2 linked regions of the Rattus norvegicus genome follow. The protein of the gene in region 1 binds, or shares a complex with, the protein of each later gene. Links are inferred from orthologs where the notes say so. Each region holds a gene or a part of one and is shown in the gene's direction. Other genes may lie near its edges.

Region 1 (5,474 bases):
TTGTTAACGGTGATGGGAAAGTTGAGAGGTCAAGGTCTGGAAGAGGTGGCCTCTGCTGAGCTTCACCTGGTCCAGACCCCCTCACAGCCGACACCCATCTGTCCGCAGTGTACCGCCGGAAGCACCAGGAGTTGCAAGCTATGCAGATGGAGCTGCAGAGCCCTGAGTATAAGCTGAGCAAGCTACGGACCTCGACCATCATGACAGACTACAACCCCAACTACTGCTTTGCTGGCAAGACTTCATCCATCAGTGACCTGAAGGAGGTGCCTCGGAAAAACATCACCCTCATCCGGTGAGCTTCCTGCCTCTGTCCCAGGGCTGGGTTCTCTGTGCCATGGCCTCCTCTAGCCACAGGGAGCCTGAACAGCCATCCCCGGGTACAGCCCCGGCCTCTCGGGGAGACATGCTTAGTGTCCATAGGCTCATGGGAATGTTTGCTTGCTTCAGCACCCTGTGTGTTCACGAAATTTATGAAATGAAAAGGATAAATCAAGTTCTCAAAGTTCAGAAGACTCCTGGCCCCAGTTCTGTTCTCTGAGCATCCAAAGAACTCATGATTTCCTCTGTCATCCACCACGACACCCCACAGCGAGGATCTGTCAATCATCTGCCCCTGTTCCCAGAAGTATCGCCCTCTTCCAGATATGAGTCATCCCTCACCTTTGTCCCTAGCAGACACCAAGGACTCACTAACTCTTCGTTAAGAGAATAAACATCTGATCATCTTCATGAATCCCTGTTAGACCTGTGTTTGATCTATTTTCTGTGTGCTATCACACAATGCCACAGGATGGGTAGTTATGAAGAAAAGAGGTTCGATTTGTCTCAGAGTTAGGAACCCGAGGTCTGTGACTGTATCTGGTGATGACCTTCTTGCTTGCAAAGACAGAGTGGGCACCCTAAGCTACCAGGACCCGCCCATGGGATGCTCCACCTTAACAACCTTGCCTCATCTGAATCACTTCCTCTCCTCATAGTCAGGATTGCTTTTCTGCGTGTGAACCTCAAACCTTAGCAGACCTGTTCTCACCAGAGCAGATAAAGAAATGGAGGCCCAATAACAGTGCGAACATTAGTTTCTCCAACATTCTCGGTGGCTATACGAACACACTTGAGGGCAGGCCCCATGCCCAGCAGTAGGTGGCTAACACAAAGTGAACTCGATGGTATTTTTTAGAGGTTTTCTAACTCATAATGCTTTACCTGGGCTACTGCTGCTGCTGCTGTTGCTTCCTCCTCCTCCTCTTCCTCCTCCTCTTCCTCCTCCTCTTCCTCCTCCTCTTCCTCTTCCTCCTCCTCCTCTTTTTCTTTCTCCTCTTCCTCCTCCTCTTCTTGTTACCTTACAGGTCTTTTACTTGTGCATTATGGTTTTTAGTTTTGTGTTTTTAGATTTGTGTGTATGAATGTGTGTGTCTCTGAGTTTCTTCAGGTTTTTTGTTTTTGTTTTGTTTTCTGTTTGTTTTGACCTATTCTGACTGGTTTGTTTGGATTTTGTATTGTTGTTGTTGTTGTTGTTGTTGTTGTTACGTTAGATTCCTGTTTTGCTTTTTTTATGAGAGAAATAAAGGGGGTGGCTTTAGGTGGGTGGGTGATCTGGGAGGAGTTAGGGAAGGGGAAACCATAATATGAATAAATTGTATGAAAATATACTCACTTTCAGTTTAAAAAATAAAATAAGGTAATTTAAATAAGAAAGGAAAGAAAGAAGAGAAGAGAAATGGAGGCCAGGGTGACATAGTGAAGCCAAGCTGAAGGTGTAACTCCCGAGTGGTCACCCTTCCTCTTGTGTGTGTACACTGAATGTGACACTGATCTCCAGGTCCCCAGCTGCCTGTGGCTCACTTAACTGTGACTTGTCTTGTCTTCTTGGTACAGGGGCCTAGGCCATGGCGCATTTGGGGAGGTGTATGAAGGCCAGGTATCTGGAATGCCCAATGACCCAAGCCCTCTACAAGTGGCTGTAAAGGTGAGGGGTGGCTCCACCTTCCGCCTAGCCTTAGCCTGAGGTCCCTGTGGGCTACAGCCACAGCTCACAGCCACCTTCTCCTCCCACCCTACCTTCCAGACGCTGCCGGAAGTGTGTTCAGAGCAAGATGAGCTGGACTTCCTCATGGAAGCTCTGATCATCAGGTAAAGGCACAGAGGCCCAGCCTCTCCCCCGACCCCTCAAGGCATAGAAAGATCTTTCTAATGGATGGGGATCTTTAGAGGAAACTGGATATATGTTGGTCCCAACATCCCCCTACCCACACAACCACGGGAAGGACCCCTGAAGTGGAGCAACCGCCCATGATTATCTCAGGAAGGATCTGAGTGGCCTAATTACTGATAGCACCATGCCTCCCCAGCTTCCTAGTGCCAGCCATTGGCTCCCATTCCTCACTTAAGGAAGCATTCTTGCATTAGATGGTATCTCCCACCCCATCCCCCCCCAAGTGACTCTTCCAGAGCTGAGGTCCTTGGACATAGAGTAAGGAAACCAATGAAAGATAGCCGACCACCATACCCCACATCGACAATGACAAGGGCTGCACCCTAACAGATAAGGCAGGCCTGCATTGAAACCAGGAACTTCCTGGGGGTAGCAATTCAGGTCTCTTGAAGGAGGAGGCAGACAGTTGTCCTTGTGACCTGAAGGAGGCTCACAGATGTCTCTGGCGCTATGATGCCTCCAAACATCCTGACCCGGGGAGGTGGCCTGGAGTGGTCCAGGTTGAAGCAGCAAGAATACAGCCAAAAGCTGTCTGAGTGATACATTTATAGGCTCTGGAACGTGTGGAAGACACACTGCCAGGATAGCACTTTGCTTTAAAAAATAATATTTATTTTCTAGTTATATATGTCATATAAGAGTAATAAATAAAACCTAAAACGTATAAGATTACATAGAAGGAGAGCTTAATCATGTAGTATTCCTACTAGGTAGTAATAAATGGATATATTTCAGCATATAATCACCAGTCTTTCAACTCAGAGTGTGTGTGTGTGTGTGTGTGTGTGTGTGTGTGTGTGTGTGTGTGTCCATCTGGGGTTTCCTAGCCCCACTGTTCTGCATATCCTAAAATGACAAGATAAACCAAATCTCAGGACCTTGGGTCCTAATCAGTCCCTGCCCATGTGGAGTCTTCAGAAGACTATGGAGATCAGTGGGCCATCTCTCCCCCTGACACTCTGTCACAGACTGTCACCACACAGGTCACACGATCTCCCTTTCAGAAGCCACTCCTCCAACTTCTGCCTGAGACCTTCCTTAGAGAATTCAGGTATAAATTCATGTAGCAGTGCTCACACAGGCAAACTCTAAAAACATCTGTACACATGCAAACACTCGCATACACACACACATGCACAAACACATACATACATATAAATATGTGTACACATGCATACACACAAACACATACAAACACATGCACACATATAAACATACACCAAACACATGCAAATATACACACATGTGCACACACGGGGCATGCACACACTCACACATGCAAAGTACACATACATGTACTTTGTCACCTCAAAGTCCTCTGACTCCAACAGAATCCTTCCCTGTTAATTCAGCTCCTGCCAAGCCTGCTCAATGTATGCATCTCTCCAGGGAGGTTTACTTCAAGTTCAACCAGAGACCCCTATTTATAGAATATTTACCCATATTTATAGAATATAGCGTCATGGCATGGTTGCTGAAACCATGACTCTCTGCCCTGCTTTTCTTGATGGTCCCAGACCTGGCTTCGTTAAATTCGATTATGCCCTCTGCCCTGTAGTAAATTCAACCACCAGAACATTGTCCGCTGCATCGGGGTGAGTCTGCAAGCCCTGCCCCGCTTCATCCTGCTGGAGCTCATGGCTGGTGGAGACCTCAAGTCCTTCCTCAGGGAGACACGTCCTCGCCCGGTGAGTGACAGCGTCTTCTCTCATGGCTCCCAGGGCTCATGTCCGGGGGAGTGGGTTACAAGGGAAGTACTTGCTTGATGGGCTCCTAGGAGTCAGCCCTGGGGTTTCGTCATGAAGAGAATGGTCAGAATCGAATGGACAGAGAGTGGATGGTGGACGAGAACCTAAGGAGACTGTACAAGCCCTACACGATAGATTCAATAACCTGACTCATGACCTGATGACTCTGGACCAGCAAACTCGGAGAGGGACTTGCATGCTAACTGTGTCACTCACTGGCTCTCCATCCGAGGATTCCGAACCCACTGATCTCTTCTCAAAAACAAATATAATAGGCAGCACCCTGACTGTGTAGTTTTCAGTATAATAATAACAATAATAATAATAACAACAATAATAATAATGACAATGACAACATCATGTTGGAATACCTAGGAGGTAGTATGTATGCCTGTGGTGTCCTGTATGAGGGACAGAACTTGTGAAAAACTCTAAGGTACATCCATGAAGCCCAGCCTTTAACCCCTGCATGGCCATCAGGCATCATACAACACGGGGCAGCCTCACTTTCTTTGGCCTTAGCATCTGTGCAGATGAAAACTGAGTTCTCTCACCTGCCACTGCCACCCAGCAAGGCCCCTGTCCTTTCTCTGCCCTTGCCCTGAGGGTCTCGGCGGAGTTGCTGGCAGAGCTCATGGAGACAGACCATTGTCCCAGCACAGCAGGCAGGAGAAACAGATCCTTGGTGCCTTCACTCTCTGACCCCTACAGTGCCACCCTAGGGAAGGTTAGTGTGGAGGCTGCTGTCTGTTCTGATCTTAACACCAGGCACCATCTGAGGGGTGCTCTTGAGAGAACCCCCTTTTTCAGAATTTTGATCCCATCCATCGAATCTAATCTTGGTGACATCTTTCCTTTGGGTGCTAACCACACATCCAAGTGTCCACGAAACCACAGCCAGGTGGCCCTGCAGTCACCCTGTTCACTGGCCTTCCTCTGCGCACTCCACATAAGCTGTCCTTCCTGCCATGCTGGCCCAGGGGAGCAGCTTTACAGATTGGAGCACTGCCCTCCAGAGTCTCCCCTTCCCCCCACTGCTGACATCTCTGAGCAACGGCTTCCTGGGGAACTGGAGGGTTTGTTGGGGTCCCTCCATGCGCTTGGTGTCACAAAGGCAGCTTAACTCCAAGTGTTTGGTTGACTATGAGAAGGGAATGTGACTTGTAGTGAACCAGTGAATCGTTACAGACGACGCAGAGGGATAGCCCAGGTACTTGGGATAAAAAAAACGAGGGTACTAGAGAAGGGGTGGGTTCTAGGTCTGGAGTTTGCTGGATCCCAGGCCTGAATTCCTCTAGATCAGTAGTTCTCAACCTTCCTAATGCTGCAACCCTTTTTTATACAGATCCTCATGTCATGGTGAACCATAAAATTATTTTCACTGAAACTTCATAACTGTAATTTTGCTACTGTTATAAATAATAATGTAAATATCTGGTAGGCGACCCCATGAAAGGGCCTTTCAACCCTCAGGTTGAGATCCAGTCAGCGTTCTAGATTCATCTGTTCCA
Region 2 (5,574 bases), about 24 Mb from region 1:
ACCAAGTAATATTTCAACCTACATTCAAAGTCCTTGTGAACTTACATGTATGGTCCTGAAATCAGCCTTCACTACCAGGGAGCTTAAAAGACCCACCATTCTGGTAAGCGGAGAACTGCACAGAATCCACCTTGACAATGTCATATAAAAGCTGAATGCACACTAATAATGAGTTCCTTCTTTCAAGTAAGTATTTAAAGTCTGGAAATGTTTATATTATCTGGCATGAGGAATGCTTGGAGTCGTTTTACCGAACAACTTTGCAATATTAAACACACACACAAATTATCTGACCTTTGAAAGACTTCATGCACCCAAACCAACCAAGCATACATTTTCTCTATTGTTGGTGCACATGCCTATCTATATAGTGCACTGAGTTAAGCACAATACAATTGGGTGATAGAGAGGGATCCCACGAAGACTCAATTTGTCCCACAGAAGGATAATTTCACCACTAGCAAGGTTTGTTGTGTTGGTAGAATTCGAAGGGGTAGATTCCGTTCCACTGCTGCTCTTTTGTTTCATTTCATCTCTAAAACTGAAGCTTTTTATTCTGCGAAGCGCTGTTTCAAACAGGTCTAGGCAAGTCTAAACTATAATCACAATAAGCTAGAAACTCTCTAAGTTTCCATTGCACTGTGATTAGTGATGCATAGATATTCAGATACCAGAGCATGGTGATGCTGACCTGCTGAAGGGGAAAGCAGTTGGGCAGCTGGACTCCCTCTTGCCAGAACTTCACGTCCCTTTATACACGGAGAGAGAAAAGGAGGACAGGGGAAGTACCCCATCATATCTGCTTAAGATCTGTTTCTCGTGAAATCTTCCTTTGCCTTGCATGCATTTCGTCAGGAACCTATGCCTTTCAACTTTATTGGATGCAACAAAACTAAATAAACTAGAAAAAAAAAAACCTAGACTAAACTAAAAGAAACCCAAATTCGAAAATCAAATTGCTTGCCTTTAAAGATAGACCCATCACCCAAGGGGTCCCATTTTAGGAGGGTCTCCCATAGCTACTGGTCCCACCCTATCAGGCACTTGATCTTTTAGGGAAACAGAACCAGTGAAGGGAGGGAGAAGGTGGTGGAGAGAGGAGACTGAGTTAGAACTCAAGGACCAACAGTGCAGAGCAGGGCTTGGCACACAGCGACCCCGTGGTCAACGCAGGTGAGCACCTGTAAGGCACTGCATCTTCGCAGCCGCCTGAGCAGCTGCGGGTTAAAGATCAGGGCTTTTAATGCTTGCCTTCTCCCTTTCTGATGCTCTACTAGGAACACCTTTCCCCGATGTGATCGCAGACTTGGAGGACTTCCAGCTCCTGCCCAGAAAGCACCAATGAAATGGGAAACTGTGCAGTTGGTAATACTTATCACAAGGGGAAAAGAAATCAAGCAAGTAAATTGCTGAGCCCTTGCAAATGTGCCTGGCTATTTCCAAAAGATCAAACTTTCTTAAAGATGCAGCTTGAGTGGCAAGAGCCTCGGAGCCAACCTGGCCCAGGGTCCAGCGAGGTACAGCAGTGTCGCTACTTTAAGAACCTTCGCTGACTGCTTGGGTCCCTCCAAGTGTGGGGCTTTCTGCAAGGCGCTCCTGCTTCCATCACCTTCTTCAGAAGCAGAAACCTGCCTGTGTTCAGCAGATCCCTCTTCAAATAAGTCCGGACTCTAGATGACACTCAATGTTGAGGCAATCAAGCAGCTCCTTTTAAATAGCCCAAGATCTACATTTAGACAAAAACAGATCCCAGTTCCCGGTAAAGGCGTTTCTGCTCATCCTGTCACTTGTGACAGGAACGGAGGGAAACAGACTGCCGGAGAGGGAGACAGGAGAGGCAGAGGAAGGACAAGAGAGGGGGAGACCAGACGCGGGTGGAGACGTGAGGGAGGGGCGGAGACTGAAGACTGGGCCAGGAGGGGACAAGGGAGGGGATGAGAGAGCGAGAGGCGGAGGGGCCTGACGAATATCCGCACCCCAGAGCGGCGCTCGGTGGTTCTAATTAAAGCGGCGCTCGGAACCCGGGGGACCCGCCTGACGTCGGCGGCCGCGGGGATAAGAAGCGCCCGAGGACAGCCGGACTCGGAGCAGCAGGGTGAGCGCTGTCCCCGTAGGAGCTGTGCGTCCTGTGTCCCTGCGCTGGACTAGTGGGGCTGGAGCTCGTGAAGTAGTGTCGGGACTGAAGAACCGAGGAGCGCCGCACACGCGGGACCTCCGGCGTGAGCTCAGGTGCCCGAGGGCGACGCGGGATCCACGGCGTGGGCACAGGTGCCCGAGGGCAGTGCGGGAGCCACCGCTGGCAGGTGCCCCGATCTCTCAAGTCCAGGGCGGCCCATCTGCTCCGCGGCTCCGGACCTCAGCAGCCCCGGGCGTCACCTGTGACCTCCCATCTCATCGAGGTGTCCAAAGACCCCGCGCGCCGACCCCGCGGTGAAAGAAAGTTCTGCGGCGGGCTCCGCCTGGACTCCGCGTGCGGGGAAACTTGGGCGCGGGCTGCTGGGGCGGCGGGTCCCAAGACCCGCGACACAGCCCACCAGGCCATGCGCGTGTCCGGGCGCCCGATGCTCCTTGCGTTACTGCTGCTACTGAGCACCGTGGGGGACCCGGGACATGCGCAGCCCAGGGGGCCTGCAGACCGGCAAACGCTGCTGAGGTTGCTAGTTGAGCTGGTCCAGGAGCTGAAGAAATTCCACATAGGAGACTCCAAAAGGCTGCAGCTCCTTGGCGAGTCCGACTTTGCCCTGGGCCGCAGAGAGGCCACGGATTATGGGGCAGACCAAGAAGAGCAGAGAGTGGGTGAGTGTTCCTCGGTGTAGACCCTGGTGGAGGGCTTAGAGTGGGTGAGAGTCCAGCAGTGTAGACCATAACATGAAACAGGGTTCTGGCAGCGAAGATTTGAAAGGCAGAAAGTAAGAGGTGAGTATCTGCCAGTGTAGACCTGTAGGGTCAGATTGTGGAAGAGGGAGCCCTAGCAGTGTGCATCTGAGGAGCAAAGTGGGGGAGTGCCCCGCAGCAGTGCAGACCACGAGGTACAGAAAGTTATTAAGACTGAGCTGTTGCAAGTATGGACCAGTGGGCTGCAGAGCGGATGAGGATCCAGGCAGAGTAGACTATGAGGAACAGAAAGTGAGTATCCCAGCAGTGTAGACCTGAGGGGTCCAGAATAGATGATTGGTGGGTGTCTGAAGACGCCAACCTACAAGGTAGAGAAGGAATGAAGGCCAAGGATTCGAACCACAAGGGCAGGAGGGGGTGAGGTCCTGGCAACGCAGAACTGATGGGAATGAGTCTTGGCATCTGGACCTGAGAAACCAAGGATGTGTGATTGTCCAGCAACATAGACCTAAAGAGTGAGTGGGGTCCTGCCACTGTGGGCCCTGGAAGAGTTCTAGCCTCACTGCACCGAGGAGTAAAAGTGGGTCTTGATAGTATGGATAGCAGGGCTACCTTCTGTGACTGAAAGACTCATTATATTAGTAGTTTTTTAAGAACTGTTTTTCAGAAGCGGGTTTAAAGATAAATCAACTTTTGAAATTAACAGAGGGGTGTGTGTTTGTGTGTGTGTTTGTGTGTGTGTGTGTGTGTGTGTGTGTGTGTGTGTGCCTGCATGTGTGTTGTTTGTTTTTGCTTGTTTCTCAGGAGAAACCTGGCAGAAACAAGAAACTGTGTGAGCCTGTAAGATAGCAATCCTAATCCACTTCCAAGATGTACTGGTGCCCAGTTCAGGACGCTCTGCTCCTTACAGGGGAGGGTTCCCAGCCCACCATTTCCAGCAGAGGCAGAAATGGCCAGAGCTTCCCTGATGGAGCCCTTCCCAGAGTGGCCCGTGGGAATTTCTCAGGGAAGCATACAAGCTTTTAATGCTTTCATGACACAATTAGGTCAAATATGATAGGGTCACTTTTGTGTAAACTGACTCAAATAAGGAGTGCACGAAGAAAGGCCTTGGGGAGTAGTCTCCATCTCCCTCCTGGAAGACTCCATGCCAGTGCCTCTCGTCAGCTATTGGGAAAGGGGAAGACAATATTTCTGGTAAAATACAATGTGACATTACACAATCATAGAGAAACTGCTTGCCTCATGTGGGTCAGAGACATAGAAAATGATTGAAGAGGCTGAGAAATGAGGCAAAGACAATATCCAAACTCAGAAAGAAAAATCAGGGAATCGTTGCTGGAGACCAGGTGCCCCCTGAAAGCATGATTATGAAATGGTGTGTGAAAAATCTTTCTTTAATTCCCCTCTTTGCCTTATAAACCAAGGATATATATATATATATATATATGTATATATATGTGTGTATATATATATAATCAGCCTATATATATATATATATATATATATATATATATATAATCAGCCTATCAGAAAACCGTAAAGAAACTTGATCCTTAAATGACACACTTTGGGAGTTGAACGTTCAGGTTTTACTTCTTGAACTTTTAAATGCTGTGGAATTTGATTTCAAAGTTCTTCAAAGTAAAGTGTATGCAAGCGATTCATCTACTGGAACATATAAAAAAAAGGTTTCTTTTCATCCTGTAACTTTATACCCAGAGAGAATAGACTGGTAACATTTGGAGCTTTAGGAGTAGTTAATGCTGCTTGAGAAAAAAACCATGTCCCGACCTAAGTGTCCACATTGTATTTTGTGCAACTACCAAGTGTTCTCCTATTTTATCCAGTGCATTGTAGTATGGATAATGCAATTCTCAGAATTTCCTCCACATTCACTGAACGACCACACTTCATAGGTGCTCTGTTCAAGTAATACGATTTCTCACCCCTCGTAGAGATTGTTCCTCGAGATCTAAGGATGAAGGACAAGTTTCTGAAACATCTCACAGGTGTGTGTCCCCTTCAGTCCTCTGCCCTCCCTGCTCCTTTGTGCCCTGAGTCTCTGTGACTTTCTTCCTCTGTGTTCCAGGTCCTCTTTATTTCAGTCCGAAGTGCAGCAAGCACTTCCACAGACTTTACCACAACACGCGGGACTGCACCATCCCTGCATGTAAGTGAGCATCCAGTAGACAAAACTCTGCTCTTCCTTCAGTACAGTGGGGCTGCTCTGTGACAGGGGTGGGGGCCTGAGTGTCCCCATCTGACTGGATTGGGGCAGGATGCCCAGACATGGGAGCAGGTGGCTTAGATTCTGCAGCAACCAGTGCCACTCACGATGACCCATTGGGCTTAGTCAGCTCTTGCAATGGGCTGACCCCTCTCATCCGCATCCTAATTTGTTTATGAACCCTGGCCCAAAGCCCATGTTCTATTCAGCTGAACACCACACAGGTAGGGCGAGTTGCTCAGGTGTCTGCTGGTGGTCAGTGTTGGGGTATAACCAGCCTGGCTGGCCTGAGGCTCTTTGGTCAAGCTTTTTTGGCCATCTCCATGGCTCTGGCTAGTGTGGTTTTCCTCCCATCAATCATAAACCCCTCAGCACCCAAGATTTTTATTTGCACTTCCGAATGTTGTCCTTCTGGCTGTTCTTCTTCAGCTCGGTGACACAGGGCTCATGCAGTGGCCCCATTTCTCGTATCTTTCTTTCCATTAAATTTCTTTTCATTTCCAACAAGC

The links. Proteins that work in one complex are often made in the same cells at the same time.
Region 2: the proteins of Alk (region 1) and Alkal2 are in contact, whole or in part, in a cryo-EM structure (PDB 9G5I), measured with the Homo sapiens proteins. The link is inferred for Rattus norvegicus from reciprocal best matches to the Homo sapiens genes ALK and ALKAL2. Residues at the interface, in NP_004295.2 of Homo sapiens: Leu684, Tyr739, His755, Ser758, Leu760, Phe856, His857, Glu859, Leu965, Tyr966, Thr967, Pro968, Leu970, Lys971, Val972, Met973, Glu974, Glu978, Asn980, Val992, Glu994, Cys995, His996, Met997, Phe1007, Asp1009; in NP_001002919.2 of Homo sapiens: Ser112, Lys113, His114, His116, Arg117, Leu118, His120, Asn121, Thr122, Arg123, Asp124, Arg133, Arg136, Leu137, Arg140, Leu141.

What each region holds. Positions count from the first base shown.
Region 1 is NC_086024.1:29,319,600-29,325,073, forward strand, and holds part of Alk (ALK tyrosine kinase receptor precursor), read left to right. Parts: intron 1-108; coding exon 109-295; intron 296-1,878; coding exon 1,879-1,969; intron 1,970-2,068; coding exon 2,069-2,133; intron 2,134-3,773; coding exon 3,774-3,903; intron 3,904-5,474. UniProt on the Homo sapiens protein: Neuronal receptor tyrosine kinase that is essentially and transiently expressed in specific regions of the central and peripheral nervous systems and plays an important role in the genesis and differentiation of the nervous system.
Region 2 is NC_086024.1:53,221,281-53,226,854, forward strand, and holds the start of Alkal2 (ALK and LTK ligand 2 precursor), read left to right. Parts: upstream 1-2,101; 5' UTR 2,102-2,540; coding exon 2,541-2,796; intron 2,797-4,793; coding exon 4,794-4,847; intron 4,848-4,927; coding exon 4,928-5,008; intron 5,009-5,574. UniProt on the Homo sapiens protein: Cytokine that acts as a physiological ligand for receptor tyrosine kinases LTK and ALK, leading to their activation. Cytokine-binding is sufficient to activate LTK. In contrast, ALKAL2-driven activation of ALK is coupled with heparin-binding to ALK.